Canis lupus familiaris: one gene and its partners. The main gene of each other region encodes a partner of the protein of the gene in region 3 in a complex. Links are inferred from orthologs where the notes say so. Each region holds a gene or a part of one and is shown on either strand. Other genes may lie near its edges. The genes, in order: SF3B4, DDX46, SF3A1, SF3B3, HTATSF1 and SF3A2.

Region 1 (4,024 bases), on a different chromosome or scaffold from region 3:
ATAAATAAAAATTAAAAAAAAAAAAAGAAAAGAGAACCAGATACAAAAACCCAGCTACATGGAGAGGGAGAAAAGCCTACTAATGTGGCTAACTTTTTTTTTTTTTTTTTTTTTAATTTACGATAGTCACACAGAGAGAGAGAGGCAGAGACACAGGCAGAGGGAGAAGCAGGCTCCATGCACCGGGAGCCCGATGTGGGATTCGATCCCGGGTCTCCAGGATCGCGCCCTGGGCCAAAGACAGGCGCCAAACCGCTGCGCCACCCAGGGATCCCTAATGTGGCTAACTTTAAGGAGTCTGAGACAGATGAAAAATCCAGAAACACCAAGAGGCAAGCTTTTCAAAAAGGACAACACACCCAGTTTCAAGTACACCAAATGGCAAACCAGGTAAAGAATGGAAGTGCCCCCTCTATTTGGCAATTAGGTCACTGCTTTGGGGTAGAAGTCGGAGGAGAAAAATGAAGTAAAAGTTAAAGGAAAAAGCAAACGAGTACAGTTACACTCTTTGGAAAAACTTGTATAATAAATGGAGACAGGGTGGTAGCTGTTAAAGTAAACAGAGAACAGTGTCTCGTGTTTGTTTTTATAAAAGAATGTCTGAAAAAAAAGCAGAGCTCCGGGACTATCTACTATTACTGCTGAGGGATGAGGGCAGCACTGCATGTGGCAGTGGAGCTCCTCCAACAAGCTTATCTATCCTTTTCCCCAGCAAAGAACACTCACCTGGATGGGGCATCCCACTTGGTGGGAATGGGTGAGGATGCGAGTGTCCATGTCCAGGATGTCCAGCCCCTGGGGTTCCTGCTGATGGTGGACCGTGTCCTCCAGCACCGGGAGGCATAGGTGGCGGGGGCATGGCTGGGGGTATCCCGGGTGGAAGGGCTCCAGGAGGCGGCACCGGGGGTGGGAAGGACCCAGGAGGAGGCATGCCTATAGAGGAAATGAAAGACAAGTTAACGATAGTAAGGAGAGAATGTCTTTAGAAAGCCCGTTCAATCTGGCCTCCTCAGGCAGGATAAGTTCTCTTCCCTTCCTCCCAGCTCTCTAAAATCAGAAGCAATACTAGATAACTAGGAACAACTTCAGCCTCTTCAACTCAACAACTTTCTCCCCACAACTGTCACCCCTCACTCTCTTTCTCATCACCTACTGACTCCATGTCCCCCTTTATCAAGTTCTTTTCTCCTCCCCTTGCCCCCGCTCACCACCACACCCCAAGCCCAAGACAAAAATACTTTGAATAAAAGCTTTACCTGGTGGCGGGAGCCCAGACCCCAATGATGATACGACAGGATTGGGGGCTGAAGGCGGAGGGGGTGCATCTGCAAACAGCTGATGAGGGCGGTCAGCCTGGGAGAGTGGGTTCTGGGCTGCTAGAAGTCGTTCAGCTGCTGAGCCGTGGCGCTCCCCTTTCGAGTCCTTCTTGAAGGCATAGGACACAGTAATGGGGCGATTACAGAGATACTGCCCATTCATGGCCTCAATAGCTGCATCCGAAGCGTCAAATGAAGCAAAATTAATAAAGGCATAACCTTTGGAGTTGCCTGTATCAGGGTCCCGCATAATCTTAGGGGTTTGTAAGATGACCCCGAAGGCGCTGAAAGTATCATAAAGCAGCTTCTCATCAATTTCTGGGTCCAGATTGCCAATGAAAATGTTGGCCCCCACGTCCAGGTTCTTGTTGTGAGCCGATGCCTTGTTCACTCGTATTGGCTTCCCATATAGTTTGATCATGTTCATGATCTTAATGGCATAGTCAGCATCTTCCTCACTCAGGAATTCCACAAAGCCATAGCCTGGGAAGTAGAAAAGCAGAGATTAACTTAAGTGAAGTGATTCAATTTCGTGTGTAACTCATGCACCTTCCAAAGCACAAAGAACATGAAATAACCACCTCACTTCAACTGGGAATGGTTCCAGAAGCAAACATTGAATGACACTTAAAAGGAAGAATCTACAGGTGATTCCAAAACGGCTATGAATACTGCCTATGAATACTGCCGGAACCCTCCAGGAGCAGCTTGTCCCCTCAATGCATAAACACGCCTCTTGTGATGTACTCACCTTGGTGCTGACCTGTGACTCTATCCTTTGGCATGTGGGTGTTGACTACTGGCCCTGCCTGGAGAAAAAGCTCCCACAGCAGGGGTTCGCTAACCTTCTCATCCAGTCCCCCGACGTAGACAGTGGCATCTAAGAGAAATGAGCAGATTATGGCAGGGATGAGACAACGACGGGAAAGAAGGAAGTGACAGGCGGGGGAACTGGGAGTGGAGATGGGATATAGGAACAAAAAAGGAAAAAGACGTGAGAGTAAGCCCTTACATCTCTCTCATTCCAGAACTAAAGAACCTTCTTAAGTCTAACTGAAGGTTCTGCTGCAAATTCTCTGTGAATTGCTTTGTTTTTGGTTTTCGTTTGGGTTTTTGTTTTGTTTTGTTTTTTTGAATGGGAAGGCGCAGGAGATTGGACAGAGCATCACAACCACAGGCCTCAGCCTGCACCCGGCCACCCCACCCCCAGCCGGCACGGGGGCCGGGTTCGCGCCCTCCGGGGGGATCCGATCTCCTGCCCCGGCGAAAACACGGCTGGCCTTCCTCGAGGCCTCCCAGCCTCCCTGGCCTCATCCCCTCCAACTACCCTGGTTCCGCTCGGAGATCGGGCCGGCCGCCATGGCGAAAGAGCTCCCGCCGTCTCCAGGCAGCGATCCCGCCCTCTGACCTCAGTCAGTACTTCCACTTCCGGGGCGAAGGTAGTCACGAGGGCGGTGGGCGGGGCCTGATGGGGGAGGAGCCGGAAGAGGCCCCGGCCATCTTAGGAGTTGCGGAGACTTGATGCGGCTTGTGGGGCCGCGTTCTCCGGTCCGTGGTTCTGCGCGGATTTGCCGCTGCTAGCGGTCAAAGCGATGAGGGCCGAACGGAAATGCCCAGACCCTCTTAAGGCAGTGCTGGACGTTAAAGGATCACAGTACTCCTAAAAATGTAAACTCAAAAGCTAAAAGAACAAAACTTTATTTAGAAATATTTTGTTGGCAAACTATCCTTTTGTTCCCCGGAGAAGGGTGTGCTGAGGAAACCCTCCAACCCAAGGATTCGGCTGCCTTAGGGTGCGGAGGCAGCCCTCCACCGTGGCCCGCGGCTTCTGGGGAGAGGATTGCGGAGTGTCTGAGCTGGAGTGGCGTCGGAGCTCACATGATCCTGTTGCATGGGGGAGATGGAAACCTGAGGCTCAGAGATGATGTGTGCCCAGAGCTGAGGGTACCTGACATTGCAGCCCAGGGGCCTCAGTTTCAACCGCCAGAATACCCCGGGCCCACCAACCATGTCTTTGCATGCTCTTTGCCCCATCTTACGAAACGATTAGTGTGGACAGCCTGACCTATCTCCATATTTCCTGAACAATAATATGGTGGGTCCCTTCTTCTCCCGGTTTATCATCGCTTTTTTACTTAGGATCTTTTATTCAGACACCAGAGATAATGCCAGCAACTGTACTTTAATGAACTCGTTAAATAGAAATGTCACTACAAAATATACAATTGGGAGAGACAGGATGTGTCCCATACCCACTAGCATACCCATAGAAAACCAGAGGGAAGAAACAGAAATTGGAATTAAGCAGCAAGAGGAGGTGAGAATGAGTTCTGTAGGCCATCTCCTTTGAACTGATGAACAGCATCTCTCATCTCACAGCTTATCGGCTGGGTATCCAGAGGGATGGAATTGCCCTGAAAAGAACAAAGGTAATCGTATTCTGGATTGCTTTTGTTTCTTAATTCCTCAAATCATGAGAAACATATCTCGAGAATGAAACAGGACAGGGCAAGAGTTGGAGAAGGTTAGCACCACCCATCTGCAACAGAAAGGTCAGTGAGCTTGTTGAGGGCTGGAGTGTCAAAAGCTGAGACAGCAAGACCAAGATAAGAAAAATTGGAGGATTAGACAGAACCTTCCCTCACCCCGGACCCCCTCTGCCATGCCCATAAAAAAGACAACAATTTCAACGGGACTGGGAAAGAATG
Region 2 (3,500 bases), on a different chromosome or scaffold from region 3:
TGTCTCTCATCTCTTCATTTACCAGAATGCAAGTTGCTTAGGGCCCCAAGGCAGGAGTTTGGTCTATTCTAAAATTTTTGCTGTCCTTGCTTCCTTTTCAGTATAGTTTTTTCCTGTCTACACAGACTGTAGATAGCTACAGGCATCATTCCTTTCCCCAGATTTTAAGAGTTGATGAATAAAAAGTCATTTCAGTGTTTGTCTGTTAAGATCTTTCGGGGAAAATCTGAGTAATTAAATATAGAAGCTACCTGTGTTTGCTAAACCTAATCTTGAACTTAACATTCTAGCCACTATCGAAAGCGATCAGCATCAAGGGGGCGCTCTGGAAGTCGTTCTAGAAGTCGCTCACCCTCAGACAAAAGAAGTAAACGTGGAGATGACAGACGGTCTAGAAGCAGAGATAGAGATAGAAGGAGAGAGAGGTCTCGTAGCAGAGATAAAAGAAGATCTCGGTCAAGAGACCGGAAGCGCCTGAGGTAAGACTAGTTTCCTAAAAATGATAAAGTGGGCCTTCTCAGGTAAATCAGGCTTCTTCAAAAGTGGAATTTAGTGGCCCCTTTGTGGGCATTCTCCTTAAACCCAGTTCATTTGATGAGGTCCAGAGGTGATTTGCCTGAAGCAAAGACTATTAAACGGTGTTTTAAGTTTGGAAACGTTAGGCTATATTTCTTGTAATCCAGAGAGAATCCCCAGAGTCCCCTGAGAAAGGTGGTTTTATTTTATTTTATTATTTTATTATTATTATTATTTTTTAAAGATTTATTTATTCATGAGAAACACACACACACACACACACACACACACACACACAGAGGCAGAGACACAGGCAGAGGGAGAAGCAGGCTCCATGCAAGGAGCCTGATGTGGGACTCGATCCCTGGTCTCCAGGATCACACCATGGGCTGCAGGCGGCGCTAAACCGCTGCGCCACTGGGGCTGCCCTGAGAAAGGTTTTAAAAACAAGTGAAAGGTAAGGTAATATGTCATCAGGGCTGTTCTGTTCTAATTCTGTCCCAAGAGAGCTGACCACTGTGTTCAGAACAGCCACTAAAGGCAACAGGAGAAGGAAAAGGGCAGAGCCATCTGCAATCCCTGTTTGCTGTTTAACACTTTAAAGAAAAATGGGGGATCCCTGGGTGGCTCACCAGTTTAGTGCCTGCCTTCAGCCCAGGTCCTGATCCTGGAGTCCCGGGGTTAAGTCCCGCATCGGGCTCCCTGCATGGGGCCTGCTTCTCCCTCTGCCTGTGTCTCTGCCTGTCTCTCTGTTTCTCATGAATGAAAAAATCTTAAAAAAAAAAAAAAAAAAGAAAAGAAAAAAAAAAAAGAAAAATGGCTTTTTAAAAGCTTTTTATTTTTAAGTAATTTCTTTACCCAACATGGGCTCAAACTTATAACTCTGAGATCAAGAATTGCATTCTCTACAGACTGAGCCAGCTAAGCACACCTGGCCCACCCGGCCCACCCACCTCCCACTTTTTAATTTCTAAAAAAAATTCTATTTATTTATTTAAAATATTTTATTTTTAAGTAATGTCTGCACACAATGTGGTGCTTGAGCTTGCAACCTCAAAATGAAGAGTTGCATACTCTACCAACTGAGCCAATCAGGCAACCCTGTTTGACACTGTTTTATTTATTTTTTAAGATTTTTAAAAAAGTTTATTTATTAGAGAGAGAGAGAGAGAGAGAGAAAGAAAAAGAAAGAAAGAAAGAAAGAAAGAAAGAAAGAAAGAAAGAAAGAGAAAAGAAAAGGAAAGGAAAGGAAAGAAAAGAAAAGAAAAGAAAAGAAAAGAAAAGAAAGGAAAAGAAAAGAAAAGAAAAGAAAAGAAAAGAAAAGAAAAGAAAAGAAGAAAAGAAAGAAAAGAAAAGAAGCAGGCTCCATGCTGGGAGCCTGACGTGGGACTCGATCCCGGGTCTCCAGGATCACACCCTGGGCTGAAGGTGGCGCTAAACCACTAAGCCACCGGGGCTGCCCTTGGTAGTTTAAAAAACTATTTTTTTTTTTTTAATTTTTATTTATTTATGATAGTCACAGAGAGAGAGAGAGAGAGAGGCAGAGACACAGGCAGAGGGAGAAGCAGGCTCCATGCACCGGGAGCCCGATGTGGAATTTGATCCCGGGTCTCCAGGATCGCGCCCTGGGCCAAAGGCAGGCGCCAAACCGCTGCGCCACCCAGGGATCCCAAAAAACTATTTTAGATTTAAACAAAAGAACCTCCTAATTTTTATTTTACTTTCACTTGCTTACATATTCCTCCGCATCAGTCAAGCAGCTGTAACCTTTCTAGCTGTTGAAAACATTGTAAATAAAAATAATCTTCCTTACACCAAAAAATCGTTTGATAAGTTTCTTATTATTATAATAGGAAATTAGACAAAGTTATACATGTGCTATGAACTGATCACAGAAAAAAACTGTCTTTTTCAAACAGCGGAAGAAGAAATTGAAAAGGTATTACAGGGTACTCAGGGAAAATACTCATTTATGAAAATGTGCATAGTGCTAACTTACTCAGTTTTGTATCATGTGGTGCCAGGAACAGTTTCATAAAATTCATTCATGTACTTGTTAAGTGAAATTGATTTTTTGGGATTTGGTCTTTGACTTTCAGGAGTGAAAGTAGAATCACAAGAAGAGCAAGAAGGATTTTGAGATTATCTAAGTGAATTCTCCATATTATATAGATGAGGAAGCTGTGACCCAGAGAGTTGATCTGCCCTGTGTCATCTCACAGTCAGCTCTAGAATAGAAATTGTTTCCTAGTCTTTTTTTTTTTTTTTTTTAAGATTTTATTTATTTATTCATGAGAGACACAGAGAGAGGCAGAGATACAGGCAGAGAGAGAAGCAGGCTCCATGCAGGGAGCCTGATGTGGGACTCGAACCCACATGATAATCCTAGTGTAAACTCTAGGATTACACCTGAGCTGAAGGAGGCAACGAACTGCTGAGGCACTCAGGCATCCCTGTCTCCTAGTCTTAATTTCTGTGATCTTTCCTTTTTTTTTTTTTTTTTTTTTTTTTTTTAAGATTTTATTTATTCATGAGAGACACATAGAGGCAGAGACATAGAGGGAGAAGCAGGATTCATGCAGGAAGCTTGATGTGGGACTCCATCCCAGGACCTCACACCGTGAGCCAAAGGCAGACATTCACCCAGGCGCCCCTTCTGTGATCTTTCCATAGCCCCATTGTGCCCATCCTTATACTTAGGTTTTGGCTGACTGAAATTTGGATTTTCTACTCTAGACCATAGATTTTAAAAAGATTTATTATCACAGATTTGCTGTTTTTCAACAAATACCATTTTGGCATTAGTATTGTCATTTTTTTCTTTAACCACTTGTAAGAATTGGCTTTACTTGTTCCTTGTTTATCTGACTTGATGGTTAATTGAAATCTCAGCCTTTAATAATGGTAATAGTTAAAAGGGTTCTTTCAATACGGGACAGAACCATTATCTGAAAGAAATTTTACTTGGTTCATAGAATGAATGA
Region 3 (3,500 bases):
GAGAACACTGGAAAGTAGTCAGGGTCAAGACTGTTGTTTCATTTACACATCACTCATCTGAGACACATCCATTTAGTGCCATGCTATACCTGGTACTGTGCAAGGCACTTCGGCACCAGAGATGACTCAGCTCTGTTCCCCACCGCTAGGCCTGCGAAGGATGGGTTATCAATGCCTTCGAGACAAGCCACCTCACTCTCTCCTAGAAACAGATAGCTCTGGGGAACGTTTGAAGGCAGGAATGCAGGCCCTACCTTTGGGGTCATAGTCCTTCCGAACAATGACCTGGTCTGGAGTTGGGGGCAGAGGAGGCGGCATCGGTGTCTCTGGGGGTGGGGGCACTTTCTGCCCTTCTTCTTCATCATCTGAACCCTGAAAAGCAAAGCAATGGTAGGACTCAGAGAATGGCTGACAGGCCACCTCCCTGAAGCTAAGCCCTGATGGCTCTCAGGGTGGCAAGGAACTTAGGTCTTTGCCAGCCAGCATCTATGTGCTAAGCCTCTGGGGGCAGCCGAGGCCAGCCGGCAGCTGGCCAAGCTGTTTCCTCACAACATGAATGGGAGTGCTGGGGGCCGTGGTGCTAACACTCCGCCCAGGCATTTCCAGCAGCTGGCACCAGGCAGTCCCAGGAGACCAAGGGCACTTAAACATGCTGGGGAGGGAGGGTGCGGGGGGCAAGTCAGTGCTCAATGGTAGCTACTCATGGAGCAATGCTGGGAGGGAGAGAAAAAGTTAATTCCCACAGACACAGGGGCCTTTCTTCTCACACACAATTTCTTTCCAAGAGGAGGAGAGCAGCTTGGCTCCGGAGACTCTATGCCTGCCTGGGGCGGGAGGGGGGGTAGGGGTGGTAGAGGCGGCCGAAAAGAAGCACAGTCTACACTGAGAAAAGCTCTGGGAACCACTAATCATCTGGGCCTAGGCTCAAATGCATCAAAGCATGTGGCAAAAAGTGTTCCCTTACTGAGAGCTGGCATGGGGGCAGGGGAGAATAGGGCCTCTGGGCCAAGGGGGGAAGGTCACAGAACAGAGCCAGCACAGCTTTTAGATCCTTGCCTGTGAATGAATCTTTGTTGCCAGAGCTAGAAAGAGGCTCTATGCTGCCTGGGTTTGGGCAGCTGCTCAGCTGGGATCCCTTTTCGGGACCCATGCCTCCTTTCAAGGTTCATAAGGGAGCTGGATCTGACTTGTGGAAAGCACCATCTCCTTAAGCTCCAGAGGGAAAGGCCAGCTTGCAGGACCTCCCAGGAGCATATACCTCATCCATATCTTGCACTTGAGTATCCTGGTCCAACTGGGAAGGAGGCTCCTCTGCCTTCTCCTGTTTCTCATCCTCTTCATCAGACTCGACCTCCATTTCAACCTCTTCACTTTCCCCAAACTTCTCATAGCGCTCCTGAATGAGGATTCGGGCCCCCAGCTCCTCCGGGGTGGTGGGGGGAGGGAAATTCCCTGGTAGAGGGTGATTCAGAGTCAAAGGCAACCTCCACAGACAATCCTTAGCAAAGACCCATCAGTCTGCCCTCCCCACACTGTAAGCTCTCCAAGGGCCCGATTTCTCTCCCAGCTCCAGACGTCCACCCAACATCTGGCACGATGTTTGCTCTATTGGATTTAAGTGGGGGCAATGTGGCAAATTTGAAGGATTCTGATAGCAGAGATGAAACAGACAGATAAAACTCTCTGCGGGACTGTGCTGCTCCCTGGGAAAAGATGTATACCTGAGATGTTCCAGGATGGCTCCTGGCTACTCATCTGGAGTCACAGATCTACCTTGTTCATTGGGTTGGAAGTCCACGGTTTCCACCACCACAAAATCATGCCAGTCGATCTGTGCATAAGCCACCCGTTCCTTCTCCTTTTCCTCCTCTTCCTTCTTCCTCTCTCGCTCCTGGAACTTGGCCCACTCCACCCGGTAACACACCTGAAGAGACAGAAATGGCATGATGCTAAGCTGATCAGGGTCTGCTGCTGATGGGGCGGTCACCTCCAGGCCCTTCACCAAATCCAGCATCTCCTTTGAAACAGGAGGCTGTTCTGTCTACAGGGAGAACTTCCGGAGTAAACGCTGGTATTTGCATTTGGTTTCAGTCAGACCCATAGATTGGAAAGAATAAAAATTCTAAATGTCACAGAAACCTTGTGTCTGGGCCCCAAGGGCAGCCATTTGTTATAACCTCAGTTTTCTGCTTGAGTTGGCAAGGAGGTCTATGCTCACAGAGCAGCAAACTCTGTCCCAGGAAGTGTATGTGACAACACATACCCACAAGAGAAGCAGCAATCTGAGAACCTGAGAAACAAAGGCTTCATGCAGCCACCCAGAACAGGCAGCACCAATATGCCTTCTCTCTCCTTGACTCTGAAAACTTGGGGCAGCAAAAGGCATTTGTCACCAGCAAGCCTATTCAGGAGTTGGCTTCTAATCATCTAATCTAATAATCAGTTGGCTTCTAGTGAGGACAGAAAAGAGGAAGATCCAGTAAAGCTGAGAGAAAGTAGAAAGAGAGCAGAGTCCAGGGTTCTTCAGCCTTTGTGGCCATAAGGCCTTTCTTCCCACCACTCCTGTGCCTGAACTGAATAAGGTCCCACCTCAGAGCCTTATTCCAAGTATGAAACAACCCACACCACCACTAACTAGTTATAATTCAGTTTACCTGGTCCAAAACTTCTCGGGGGTTCTCCGCCTCTTTCTTGAGCTTTGTAAATAAGCCTTTAGGGGGAATCAAGATCTGCAATATGAAGAGTTAAAGCAGGTGTCAGTGCCACACAATACAGGACAAACAAGTGGCCTTCCGGGACCTGTAGAAAGGCACAGGAAAAGTGAGAGGATGGGGTTCCAGGTCCCAATTCCAGCTCCACTTTGCTGTGTGACTTTGGACAAGTTACTTAACCTCTGTAACTTGGCTGCCTTCTATAAATAGTGACACCACCACTTAAAGCTGGCAGAGTCAACTTAAAAAACTGTTGCAAGGATCGGCAGGAAAATAGGCAAAAGCACTGCTCATCACTCAGCATATAGTGTACATGTGCTGGCTGGTCTCAGGGCACAGGGCTGTTCCTACCCTTTTGCACATGCTCCCCTGACAACCCGGACTCCAGACTGCCGCCTACAGACTTCATCTCCTACATTCCGTCCCCTGCTTTCTATTCTCTGTAGTATTTATTACCATCGGACATCCACTGACGTTGCACTTGCTTGTCCCCCTCACTGGAACAGAAACTACACAAAAACAGAGATTTCTATCTTTATTTTTTATTTTTTTTTTTTTGAGATTTCTATCTTTAGTTTACTATTTTATGTCTAGCATTTGAAATAAAGTCTGACAACGAACATATATTTGATGAGACAACGAATGATGGCTTTGTTCAAAACAGCATAAATTCCCAATAGTATTTATTGTCACTAGTAAAGTGGGTTCAGCCCCACTCTATCCTCCCTATACCTCTACCTCATGAATAAATCTATTCCTATGGTCTCCAATGACCAGAGACAGACACCA
Region 4 (3,500 bases), on a different chromosome or scaffold from region 3:
CTTCCCCAGGTCATAAACTCGCAGAAGCTTCCCCACACCAATCAATACTCTCCCTTGGAATGGGGCAATGGCAGCAGGGACCTCTTCCACTGGAGTCTGTGAGGAAAAAAAAGCAGGTAATGTAGCTATTAGGACACCAGCCATAGGCTAGCCCCACCCTCTCAACCAAAAATGTTTTTACAAGAAACAGTGAGTGATCACCTTTGGCTCATCAGAGAAATAAACCACACATACAACAGTCTCTAGGAAATGGGGTGGTTGCGTAAACAGGTCCCACACACTGCAAATCACTTAGCAAATGGATCAATGTCACAAGTCAAAGGAGCCTAATGAATGTGGTCTTAGAGCCTGTGTTAATTCAACTGGTGCCACTAACAGTGAAGCCTCAATATCAAAAAAGTGACTGCTGGTTGTGGAGGGATGGGAAAGGAGTGACAAGTGACTTCTTAGTTTTAAGGGAGATACAATGAGTTTAACACAAAAAAAAGTCCACAAGTAGTTATTTTGTAGGGGACACTTCCCTGTGCTTCAAAGGGCTAGAGGAACTACATGCATTTGTTGTCCATGTGGAAGAACAGGAAAATTTTTCCCTTATTTTTAAAACTGCGATAAAATACACATAAAATTTTCCATTTTTAAGTATACAATTCAATAACATCAAACATTTTCACTGTTGTGCAACCACCACCACCATCCCCAGAACTTTATTTTTCCAAAGGGAAACTATCCATTAAAGGCATTTCTCCAGAGATTATTAATTATTTAGATCTACTAGATTTTGGTCACAAATTGCTGTCTGCTTAGTAAAAGCAATAAACAAGGGGCCAATTCGGTGTGTATCTAAGTCATCATTGTGGATGGTTAGAACACAGGCTTCCTGTGGACCCCCGGGCAGTGGAGCTTCACTGGAGCATGAAAGCCAGAGCGTTTCTGTGTCCCACCAAGAGACGGAACATAATCAATGAGCTGGCTCCCAAAATGGTCACCAAAAGACCTGACCCACAACTTAAGCAAAAGTGGGAGACTTCAGTTGGACCAGAGACACAGGAGTACCACTGGCTGGTTCCTACCTTGTGCAAAAACTCCAGTTTTTCCCCATTGTTCACGAGCTTGTAGGTATAGACAAAGCCCCCTGCCACAGACCTGGGGTTGAGGATCAGGTCTTTGGCCACACCCACCAAGACATACCAATCATCACCAGTGTTAGAAAACCTACACACAGCCACACTGCAAAAAAGAGAAAGAAGCAGGAGTCAGGCATTAGTTATAATATAAAGTATTCTCATTCCAGCTCCCAAAACCTTGGACATCCTGTGCTCCTTACCTAAAAGCAGCCTCATTCTGTTCTAGCTGGACAAGGTCCAGCGTGTTCCCTTGAATAGGATTCATCACTCGGATCACAGAAGCCCACTGTCCATTGCCAGCCTTAGGAGCTCCAAAAATGGACTCAGGGAGGTTTTCATTGAGGAATGCTGCTGCCATTTCAGCAGCAAGCTCCCGCTCATCTTCTCCTGCTGCTTCTACCATTTCCTAAAATCAATCAATCAATCACAAAAACACAAAACAAACACACAAAACAGGGAAGATGGGACACCTGGGTGGCTCAGCGGCTGAGGGTCTGCCATGGGCTCAGGATGTGATCCCGGGGTCCAAGGATCAAGTCCTGCATCAGGCTCCCTGAGAGGAGCCTGCATCTCCCTCTGCCTAGATCTCTGCCTCTCTCTATCTCTCACGAATAAATAAATAAAACCTTAAAAAAAAAAAAAAAAAAAAAGGAAGAGTCGGTATATTCAGAGGTAGGTAGTGGGTGAGAAGTGGACAAATATACAACACCTCCAGGGGGAATTCATATCATGTAAGTAGCCAAGTCTGTAGGCCAAAAACAAATCTCCTATAAAGTAAAGATTAAAGGGAGAGGTATACAGATAAGGGGAAGAGGGAAAACCACTAAAGGGGAAACCAGGTACTTCATTTTTTAATGCCTAAAAAAACCCTAACATCAACTACGGCAAATACCTGAGTGGTCTGAGATACATAAAATGAAAACACCACTTTTCTACCTATCGCATCTGATTTCCCTTGCTACAAATCCTTGTCTCATCTCTTCCAAGCCAGACACAGCTTTACATGGTTGGAGCTATTTGTTTTTTTGCTAGGAGATGATTTCTGGAAAGAACTAGTGTTACGGAGAAAATGAAATCTGTCTCCTTTGGGCCTGAATCCAGGAAACACATACATAAACTGTTTGGGAAGCTCAAGGACTGAAGAACTCTGTTTCAAAAGGAAAGCTGAATACTGAATAAACCCAGGTCAGTGTATTAGTCCTGAGTCACAAGATAATCTCTAAAAACAAGGATTCAGGCAAAGGGGTCTGCTTAAAGGACCGGACAAAAGCCTGGGTCTTTTTTTTTTTAACATTTTATTTATTCATGAGAGAGAGAGAGAGAGAGAGAGAGAGAGAGAGAGAGGAGGCAGAGACAGAAACAGGTTCCTCACAGGGAGCCTGATGTGGGACTCGATCACCAGACCCCGAGATCACACTCTGAGCAAAGGCAAAACACTCAACCTCTGAGTCACCCAGGCATCCCAGCCTGGGTCTTTTTTAATCTAACAGAATATAATCAACAATTACACGAGTTTAAACTTTTCAACAAAATTTCACATGAATGCTTTTTAGCTGAACCTTGAAGGCCAGTCTCATTACATTACCTCTGCCATCTGCTGCTTCCTCTGAGCCTTTGTCGCTTCAGTATAGGCATTGTGGTCTGTCTCAATTATGATAAGGTTGTTGCTCTCAGGGTGAATGACAAATTTCCTGGGTGTGTACTGCAGTGGAAAGGCTACTTGATTGAAGACAGCACCTAGCTTCTCCAACGCTAAAATCCTATTGTGCAAAAGGCAGGGAATTAATAGATCACTCAGGGTCTAGAAACTCAGGTAAAAGTATAAAACCAGTCACACAAATGCATCAATCTCTAAAGCTCTCATGTTAGCATAAATTAACATCAAATACCAGCCTTCTAACCTAGAAGATTCTGCACAGAAAACAAGGAAATCCTAGAAGGGCCTTCTACTTCAGCAACAGCAATTCTGGTTTTCTTTTCCTTTTTTTTTTTTTGCAATTCTGGTTTTCACTAGTGAAATTTTTTTTTTTGTCACTCCAGTGATAACGCGACAGTAAAGAGTTAAAACTTCCTCTTATTATTGACAAACTCTGAAAAAAAGAACATCAATTCCAAATTCATTCTAAATTACTGAAACTGCCTCAACATGTAGTATTTGTGCTGTGTTTCCTAAAATAAAGTGGGTGCTCTCCTGAACAAAAATCACCTAAAACAGGAAACCTGCAACCATACAAAAAGAGATGGTGAGTAGGGGACCTACAACCTTTGTCAAATGAGACCAAGAGATGTGCCTAAGCCAAACTATGTCCAAAATAAGCAGAACCTAAGTACTCTTAAAAATATAGTCACTTGGGGCACACCTGGGTGGCTCAGTCT
Region 5 (4,272 bases), on a different chromosome or scaffold from region 3:
GAGGTACAGAATTGAAATAGCCTCCCCAATGCCCACAAGTCAGTGTGCAAGCCAATGGATAAATCTAAATAATAATAATAAAAAAACCCTTCATCTTATGATTCCTTCAAGACTATTATAATTCTTCAAATAGTAATCATATATACACATGCTAACATTTAACATTTTTATGTTCATATTTTGCAAGCTAAATCCACTTGCCTGGTTCAGCCTTTCTCTTTTCTCCCCTCTTTTTGGGATCATTGGGTTCAGGGGTTTTTCTTTGTGGCGGTTCTTCTGCAGTCCTAGCACTGACTTCTTGCACATTTGCAGTAGAGCTAGATGCCCCCTCATTAGAAAAGCCATAATTGGCCTGATATGTAGCAATGAAATCTTCAGTGATCTAAACAAAAAATTCAGCACACACACATATAGAAATTTGAAAATGACTTCTTCCCATAAAAAGTGTACATTGTGATAAATTTCTGCATATTTGGTTATACAACTGAACACAGAAATGTTTCTACAGATAATGGCTGTAGTAAATAAAGTGTAAATGCAAGAATAGTCATGTTATACAGAAAATGTGCATAAAATGACAAAAAAAAATAAGATGGGTATTTGGATTATCAACACAAAACTCTTAAGGAAATTATTGGCACTGTAAGTGGTGTTGGCGCATTTTCTAGTTGATTCATTTATAAATCACTACCTCTCTACAGTCTACTTGAGTAAGGCTACAAGTACATACAATAAAGGAAGTACCAGATAACAATATAACAAAAACCAACAGTCAATAACCTAACAACAGAATCAATTTTTCTTTTGCTACAGAGATACACAAAAGTATACACGCATTAAATATTTGAGTGTCTGTATGTAGAGAACACACAAGATAAAACTGATTTAGTATATAGAGAATAGAACTAACGATTGTAAAACTAAATGCTTATTTTCACTCTCTCACTAATTAAATGACACAATCTTTTAGTGTCAGAACAAACTAAGAACAAATTCAACTCACATCCATCTATCCTCCTGGCTTTTAGGGGAAAAAAAGCCCAGTTGCACAATGAAAGAAATAGGAGTCTGCCTTCATTCTGGTCAATGTTACGCACATACAGGAGTGGGGAATTTTTAAAACTCAAAGTTTCAAGAGGTATGGGTTTCAATAACATAAAAAGATAAGAGTCACAAATGAATCCATTATCAGACTATTGTTAAAAGTCCTCAGGAAACCAAATCTGCTCTGGAGCTGGGATGACCAGAACCAGCAAAATAATAAATGTAACAATGTAAAGGGAATGAAGTATACAAAAACAAAAAGGAAAATAAAAAAATTGAAACAAATAATTTTAAGAATAACAGTCAAACTACACAATGGAGACATGGCTTATATTACCAGCTTGCAAGTTGATTGCTACTGGTATATTTTCCCACCCACATGAGACTTTGATTAACAGGGTACTTTTGCTGAAAAGTTTGCAGAACCAAGTTAACACCGGTTACATTACTTACAACCTGGAATAAAATACTTAACAATTTCCAAGCACTCTACACAAATATACACAGATATCTTCTATCCATATTCCGTGCCTGTGGTTGTATGGTTCGAACACACATGCCTAGGGACAAAATCTGATAGGAAAGAGAGGTGCAGATCAAGTTCAATCTATAAAGGGATATAAATGGCTATTTTTTTTTCAAAACCAAGAAGCTGCATTTTGCACAAAGTACACAAGCTAAGCAAACATCAGAATTCCTAGGGTATATGAGGTTGGCTATCCAAGAGACCCACAGCTACTAAATTTGCTCTCGGTGTTTTTCCTCTTTGCAATAAAAAGCAGTAACCAATGCAATAACCAACCATGACCTTCACAGACAAAATTAATAAGGCATAGAAGAGATTTAAGAATTAAATTACATTCGAGACATCTCGGTAAAGATCTACGTTTCTCTAACATCGGTTCGGCAACAGAAACAACAAAAAGAAACGTCACTATCCATGGGGCCCTAACTCAAGACCTCAGCAAAGAAAAACGGAAAAGGGGCGCCCCGCGAGGCTGGCCAGGCGGGCCCGCTCTGCAGTGCCGCCCGTGCCACCGTCGTACCTTGGGGAACCAAGCCTTCTTGTCCAGGTCCCACTCGTACGGGGTGTCAGCCGGCTGCTGCCCGAAAGAATCGGGTTCTCCACTGGGATCTTTCTGGGTGTCGCCGTCCTTGGCGTCGCCGTACAATTCTTGCATTCGCAACTGCTCATCAAACTCGTCGTTCCCATCCAAGTTGTTGCCGCTCATGTTGCCGACTTAGGCAAGGGACAGGGTCCGCGCGAGCAAAGAGGCCGAGATGCAGCCGGAGGCTATAGAGAAAGGGAGGTCAGTCGCACTGGGCCCGCGTCCCGCCGCCCCCCGGCACGCCTCCCCGCGGCGCCCCAGCAGCCCCCGGGAGGTCGGGGCCGACCGGCGCCCGCGCCGCCCCCTGCTCCGCCCGCTCTCCCACCGCGCGCGCGCGCGCGCGCCGCAGGCTGCAGCCCCTGCCGCGCCGCCGCCCACCTGGCTCGCTCCACCGGGCCTCGGCGCCGCGGCTCGACCCAGGGCGTGGCGGGAGCGCGCACGCGCGCCGCCGCCGCCCCCGCCGCCGACCGGGTCGGAGTCGCCTGCAGCCTCTGCAACCCCCGCGGCTCCCGCGGCTCCCGCGGCCCCCGTGGCCCTCGCGGCAACGTCAAGAGGTTGCCGGAAAACTGAGGCCCGCTCAGGCTGACGCAGTCGCCATTGTTGGCACGTCGAGACGTCGCGGGTCGCGCCGACACGCCTCCAGTGGCGTCAATAAGCGCCGACGCGGGCGGGCAGTGCTGGACCCTAGGGGCGGGGCGTCTTGCGGGGAGCGCTGCTAATCGCCCGCCGCTGCCCACCCGGGCCTCCTGGGCGGGGCGGGGCGGGGCGGGGTGGGGGCGCGGGGGCCGCTGCGCTTAGGGACCTCGGGCTCGGTGGAGGCCGCGGTGGGCGGCAGCCGGAGGCGTGGGAATGTTCCCACTCGGCGCGCGCCATCTTGGGGGAGTGGATGGGGCGGGCGGGACGGATTTGTGTTCCTGAGAAAAAGACAGGCCTCCTTCCCCCGTTCCGCTTGGGAAACGCGACTTTGGCTTATTTCTTTATGATTTCCCTAGGATGGGCGCCGGCTCTTGTTCAGCTTCTTGGCCTAAGCTCCCAGCCCAGGGTGTGGTGTCTAGTGCGTATTGAATGAGCGAGTGAGCAAATGAATGAATGAATGAATGAACGAACGAACGGGGTGGGGACCAACCTTCTTTTCCCAGCCTGAGGCCCCTCCTTTATCTCTGGTACTTTCTCAGGCTGAAGATCGACTCTGGAAAGGCGGAGGGGGACAGGGGGGAGCAGTAGTTTTCTGCCTCTTGTACGCCACGATTCAGAGGTGCTCAAGCTCCAAACCTGAAACTTAAAACATCCAAGTATAAGCACCAGCTTTACTGGCCCAGCAACTTCGGGTTTTTTGTCTTTCTTTTAGAAAAGTACAGAATATTTTCCCTCTACACAGCTTTTTATCAAATTACATATTTATCGTAGAAAATAAAAAGGTCTGTATTTTTTTTTAATCGGGCAGATATTTATTGAGCAACCAAATGCCAGGGACTGTGCTAGGCTCTGGCGAGCCAGCAGCCAACAACACAGGCACAGCTCAAGGGAGACGTACTTGTTTATGTAGATGATTCTATCAACATTTGTTGTAGTAAAAACAACAGTTTAAAAGGGTTTTTAAAAATCCCTTTAAAAATAACAATGATAAACTTCTTATGTACAAACGTAAAATTTTATAAACCAGACGTGAGGGTAAAAAGCTTACCAGAAGAAATTAGTTCTGCTATCCCAGTGATCTTTTACTTCTAAATATAGCAGTTGCGTATGGGCTCTAGAAAATCTTAACTCCCCAAATACCGACTGTGAGAATATGGTTTCAACCCTTAAAGCGATTTTTAAATAGTAGCTTGGGTTTGAGTTGGTTTTTTTTTTTTTTAAGTACATTTCTTTTTCATGAAGTTCTTGTTCTGTTCCAGACTACAGGAGAACTGAACTTGCATGCTTTTTTATATATATAATATAGATAACATGAGTTTTATTAGGCTCACTTATTTAAGCATTGCTAAGTATTTCTTCCTGGATCCCAAAATAGTGTACAGCTGTTTTCAGCAATGTGTTATTGGGCTCCCATTTCATTCCTGAGTGAGTTCACAGCATAGGTGATAATATGTTACACAGCCCTACTACTGCTCGTGACCCT
Region 6 (4,159 bases), on a different chromosome or scaffold from region 3:
CCAGTTTGGCTGGGACCCAGGGGCCAGGACAGAGACATGCCCTCACTTCCTGTCACCTGTTCTAGCAGTGACATCTCCAGAACACCCCACTGACCCAGCGGTGGGGAGCCAGTAAGAGCCATAAGACTGACTTGGAAAGTAATGTGTTAACAAAGCCAGGAGATCCCCCCCCCCACCCCATCTGGTGAGGATTCCAGTTCCTTGTTAAGCCATCAGATAAGCCCCTCAAATGCTAGTGGCTGGCTGGGGCAAAGGCAACACGGGTGTTGCAAAAAGGGTCCACGTTTAGAGTGACGGGCTCAGGAAGACGGAACGCAAACACTGAGCTGGTCACCAAGTTAAAGGGAAGCAGTAGCCACTGGAGACCCAAGGTGCCAGTTGCTTGTAGCCCACTGCAGAGTGTTCCTGGCCTCCCCAGGGGAGGTCATCCCCTACAGGAGCCCAGGGGCCCTCACCCGACTGCCTGGGTAGGTTTTACAGTCTCAGAAGAACTGAACAAAGGGCCGCTCCACTTAGAGGGGCAGGCACAGAGGGAGAGAGTTGGAGAGCCAGGGAGTGGAGTGAGGGCCAGGCTGTAAAGAAGGAATTCCATGAACACCTGCCCTGCCCCTGCAGCTTGCCCAGAGGGTCCACCTGGAGGTCCCCAATCCAGGGACACAGTGAGAGCACGCTAGAAACGGTATTCTCAGACACTGACAGTGGGAGTCCCCTGCACCCCCAAAGAAACCTAGGCCTGTCTGGTTTCCTAGGCCTGCTGGGCAGTGAGACTCGCTAGGTTAGAGTCTGGGAACTCAAACACAGACACATCCGCTAGCCACCCCCCACCCCCCCAGGCAATGTTAGCATCCTCCTTAATTAGAGGGTGAGAGGGGGGATCCCTGGGTGGCTCAGCGGTCAGGGCGTGATCCTGGAGTCCCGGGATCGAGTCTCACGTCGGGCTCCCGGCACATGGAGCCTGCTTCTCCCTCTCCTCTGCCTTTGTCTCTGCCTCTCTCTCTATATATATATCTATCATAAATAAATAAAAATTAAAACAAAACAAAACAAAACAGGGTGAGAGTTACTACACCTCCAATGCAGAGCACGGCACCAAAGGTTAGCAAGGGCAGTTAAAACCCAAACCCAAGACCTTTGGAAACAGCTGAACTTAAGAGCTTGCGGGTACAAGTCAAACCAACCTTTTACAAAGAAACGCAAAACAGGGGGGAAAGTAAGAGAACAGGACTTAGATGAAATTTCAGAGCGAGAACAGCAAGAAGCATGGAAGGCATCCTCAAAGAAATCTGAAAGCATTCCCAAAGAAAGGGAAACAGCCCGGGCCCGGGGCTTGAGAGAATCTCATTGTTCGGACGGAAAAAAGGACAGAGACCCCCGTGGACAGAGACCATCGGGAGGCGCGGGTGGCTCAGGTCGTGACCCCAGGGTCCCGGGCTCCCCGCTCAGCAGTCAGCCTGCTTCTCCCTCTCCTCCCCCTGCTTGTACTCTACCTCCCCCTCTCTAATAAACAAATACAAATCTTTTTTTTTTTTTTAAAGATTGTATTTATTCATGAGAGACACACAGAGAGAGGCAGACACAGGCAGAGGAGCAGCAGGCCCCCTGCGCGGAGCCCGATGGGGGATTCGATCCCGGGACCCCGGGGTCACGCCCTGGGCCGCCTGGGGGCCCCAAGAGGGATGCTCAGTCTAGAGCTTGTTACCCTAAATTCTCAGCACGCACGTTCGCGGACAACCGAAGTCAACGTCAGCCCCGGGACGCCAGGGCGCGGGCCCGTCGCGGGCGCCCCCTCGGCCTCCCCCCCCCCCCCGACCCGCCGCCAGGGACCCCACGGCGCCGCCGGGCCCCGACCCGACCCGCACACTTCCGAGGAGGCGGGACTCGTCGGGCCCGACCCCGCGCGCGGCCAGGGAGCTGGGGCCCGGCGGCGCCGCGAACCCGAGAGCCCCCCGCCCCCCGCCGCTCCCGTCCGGGGAAGCCAGGGCCCCGGGACCGCCGCGCTCGGCCAGCCCGGATCCTCACCCCGCGCGACTCCTCACCCCGCGCCCGCCGCTGCCACGAAGACGTTATGCGCAGGCGCGTCGCGGGCTACAGAAGCGCTTCCGGGGGCAAACGGTGGGGTCTGGGGAGAGGGGTGAGGGCTTCCCGTGTGCGCATGCGTGCTTCGCCAGGCGAGGCGGACCTGATGCTCGAGAGGGCGAGGAAAGGGGGCGGGGCTGGGAATAAGGGCCGGAACTCGGGAGTGCGCGTGCGCACCAGGCTCTCCACGCCTAGCGGGCGCCGGGCCGGTTTCCGCGGGAGGGCGGGCGTGGGCTCGTCGGTAGAGGGCGCCACGGTCGTGAGGCTGCCTTCCTGGGTTCCCACCTCGGATCCAGCTGACTGCGTGGTTATTTATAACGGCCGTCCGTGTCGGCCGGTATCGCGTGCTCCCCCACGCGGGCCTGGCTTAGCGCCGCGCGCCGGCCAACACCACAATGCGTGTCTCGGGGCCGCGCAAGCGCAGTGGCCGCGACGGCGCTTCCGGGACGGCACTGTAGGACTTTTTTGGCGCGAGAGGGGACGGCGGCCGGGAGGGCGCGGCCCGCGCTCCGCGTTTTGGGTCCTGGCAGCGCCATGCGCTACAACGAGAAGGAGCTGCAGGCGCTGTCCCGGCAGCCGGCCGAACTGGCGGCCGAGCTGGGCATGCGAGGCCCCAAGAAAGGCAGTGGTGAGCGGGCCGGAGCGCCGGGCGGGCGGGCGGGCGGGCTGGCCGGGCGGGGGTGGGTGGCGGCCGAGCCCGCGTGAGCCCGCCCTGTGCCCGCAGTGCTGAAGCGGCGGCTGGTGAAGCTGGTGGTCAACTTCCTCTTCTACTTCCGGACGGACGAGGCCGAGGTAGGCCGACGGGCGGGGGTCGGGGCCGGGAAGAGAGCGGGGGCCCGGGGGGCGGGGAGGGCGGGGCCGGGGGAGGGGCCGGGGGCGGGGCCGGGACAGGTGTCGGGGCCGGGAAGGGAGCGGGGCCTGGCGGGGGGAGGGGAGGGCGGGGCCGGGGGGCGGGGCCGGGACAGGTGTCGGGGCCGGGGAGGGAGGGGGGCCTGGGGGGGGGGAGGGGAGGGCGGGGCCGGGGGAGGGGCCGGGACAGGTGTCGGGGCCGGGAAGGGAGGGGGCCTGGGGGGGAGGGGAGGGAGGGGCCGGGGGCGGGGCCCGGACAGGAGTCGGGGCGGGGGGAGGGGCCGGGAGCGGGGCCCGGACAGGTGTGGGGGGGGGCGCGCCGGGCGGGCTTTGGGGTCCGGCGGGGGCGGGGGCCCGGGTCCCCACGAGGCCGGTCCCCACTCGCCCCCTCCCGCAGCCCGTCGGAGCCCTGCTGCTGGAGCGCTGCAGAATCACCCAGGAAGAGCCCAGCGGCTTCTCCATCTGTGAGTGCCGCGCCCGCCCTGCCCCTTCGGCCCGGCCGCGGGTCTGCGCGGAGACAAAGTCCACCCTTCCCTCGGGCTGCCGGGGTGCAGCTCCTCTAGGACCTTGTCTCCTGTTGGGCAGTGCTGCACTGGGCTGCCGGGCCCTGCTGTGGGCGCCCTGGGGCTGGAGAAGTGACGTCATTGGGCCTGCGGGGGATCCTTGTCGGGGAGGTTGTCCCAGGCGAGCCTGGCTTCCGGGGTGGCCGGCAGCTGGCAGCGCCCTTGCCTCTGCAGAAGGACTCCTAGGGTGTTCGTGTCCCCCCTTCATGTTCTCGGGGACGTCCTGTGCCGCCTATTCTCCCCTGACTTATTAAGTAGCCGCACTCTGAAGGGTTCTGTATCTGGGCCACAGGCTCTAGGGTTAGGACTGGAACTACTGTGTGGGGGGCACCATTCAGTCCACTCAGCCGCTGGGAGTCGTCTTGGCCTGGAGGAAGGTGGAGGCCCGTGGGGGGGCTTCGGAGGGGGCGGCGGGCAGTGAGATGGGACAGACAGACCGCTCCCTCCGCAGGCTTCATGGAGGACCCAGAGAGGAAGTACCACTTTGAGTGCTGCAGTGAGGAGCAGTGTCAGGAGTGGATGGGGGCTCTGCGTCGAGCCAGGTGAGGTGTGGGCCTGCCCAGGGGCTGGGGAGGGGGGGGCCTGAGTGAGCACATTCCACTTTCTCCCCCAGCTACGAGTTCATGCGGAGAAGCCTCATATTCTACAGGAATGAGATCCAGAAGATGACT

What was found.
Region 1: SF3A1 (region 3) and SF3B4 share a complex: the UniProt entries of both Homo sapiens proteins name them as parts of the 17S U2 SnRNP complex. The link is inferred for Canis lupus familiaris from reciprocal best matches to the Homo sapiens genes SF3A1 and SF3B4.
Region 2: SF3A1 (region 3) and DDX46 share a complex: the UniProt entries of both Homo sapiens proteins name them as parts of the 17S U2 SnRNP complex. The link is inferred for Canis lupus familiaris from reciprocal best matches to the Homo sapiens genes SF3A1 and DDX46.
Region 4: SF3A1 (region 3) and SF3B3 share a complex: the UniProt entries of both Homo sapiens proteins name them as parts of the 17S U2 SnRNP complex. The link is inferred for Canis lupus familiaris from reciprocal best matches to the Homo sapiens genes SF3A1 and SF3B3.
Region 5: SF3A1 (region 3) and HTATSF1 share a complex: the UniProt entries of both Homo sapiens proteins name them as parts of the 17S U2 SnRNP complex. The link is inferred for Canis lupus familiaris from reciprocal best matches to the Homo sapiens genes SF3A1 and HTATSF1.
Region 6: SF3A1 (region 3) and SF3A2 share a complex: the UniProt entries of both Homo sapiens proteins name them as parts of the SF3A subcomplex of the 17S U2 SnRNP complex. The link is inferred for Canis lupus familiaris from reciprocal best matches to the Homo sapiens genes SF3A1 and SF3A2.

Annotation. Positions count from the first base shown.
Region 1 is NC_049238.1:59,867,874-59,871,897, forward strand, and holds the start of SF3B4 (splicing factor 3B subunit 4), read right to left. Parts: upstream 2,801-4,024; 5' UTR 2,678-2,800; coding exon 2,644-2,677; intron 2,197-2,643; coding exon 2,068-2,196; intron 1,800-2,067; coding exon 1,257-1,799; intron 934-1,256; coding exon 727-933; intron 1-726. Other genes in the region: MTMR11 (myotubularin-related protein 11), read right to left, coding at 4,003-4,024. UniProt on the Homo sapiens protein: Component of the 17S U2 SnRNP complex of the spliceosome, a large ribonucleoprotein complex that removes introns from transcribed pre-mRNAs.
Region 2 is NC_049232.1:22,851,523-22,855,022, forward strand, and holds part of DDX46 (probable ATP-dependent RNA helicase DDX46), read left to right. Parts: intron 1-290; coding exon 291-479; intron 480-3,500. UniProt on the Homo sapiens protein: Component of the 17S U2 SnRNP complex of the spliceosome, a large ribonucleoprotein complex that removes introns from transcribed pre-mRNAs.
Region 3 is NC_049247.1:23,899,586-23,903,085, forward strand, and holds part of SF3A1 (splicing factor 3A subunit 1), read right to left. Parts: intron 2,730-3,500; coding exon 2,655-2,729; intron 1,925-2,654; coding exon 1,774-1,924; intron 1,453-1,773; coding exon 1,259-1,452; intron 373-1,258; coding exon 255-372; intron 1-254. UniProt on the Homo sapiens protein: Component of the 17S U2 SnRNP complex of the spliceosome, a large ribonucleoprotein complex that removes introns from transcribed pre-mRNAs.
Region 4 is NC_049226.1:77,109,314-77,112,813, reverse strand, and holds part of SF3B3 (splicing factor 3B subunit 3), read right to left. Parts: intron 2,885-3,500; coding exon 2,710-2,884; intron 1,531-2,709; coding exon 1,325-1,530; intron 1,228-1,324; coding exon 1,071-1,227; intron 97-1,070; coding exon 1-96. UniProt on the Homo sapiens protein: Component of the 17S U2 SnRNP complex of the spliceosome, a large ribonucleoprotein complex that removes introns from transcribed pre-mRNAs.
Region 5 is NC_049260.1:107,799,828-107,804,099, reverse strand, and holds the start of HTATSF1 (HIV Tat-specific factor 1), read right to left. Parts: upstream 2,801-4,272; 5' UTR 2,532-2,800; intron 2,339-2,531; 5' UTR 2,277-2,338; coding exon 2,091-2,276; intron 383-2,090; coding exon 202-382; intron 1-201. UniProt on the Homo sapiens protein: Component of the 17S U2 SnRNP complex of the spliceosome, a large ribonucleoprotein complex that removes introns from transcribed pre-mRNAs.
Region 6 is NC_049241.1:57,268,151-57,272,309, forward strand, and holds the start of SF3A2 (splicing factor 3A subunit 2), read right to left. Parts: upstream 2,801-4,159; 5' UTR 2,705-2,800; coding exon of another isoform or gene 2,611-2,704; 5' UTR 2,362-2,610; exon of another isoform or gene 2,254-2,361; intron 2,187-2,253; exon of another isoform or gene 2,020-2,186; intron 1,804-2,019; exon of another isoform or gene 1,700-1,803; intron 1-1,699. Other genes in the region: PLEKHJ1 (pleckstrin homology domain-containing family J member 1), read left to right, coding at 2,611-2,704, 2,801-2,868, 3,323-3,389, 3,940-4,030, 4,102-4,159. UniProt on the Homo sapiens protein: Component of the 17S U2 SnRNP complex of the spliceosome, a large ribonucleoprotein complex that removes introns from transcribed pre-mRNAs.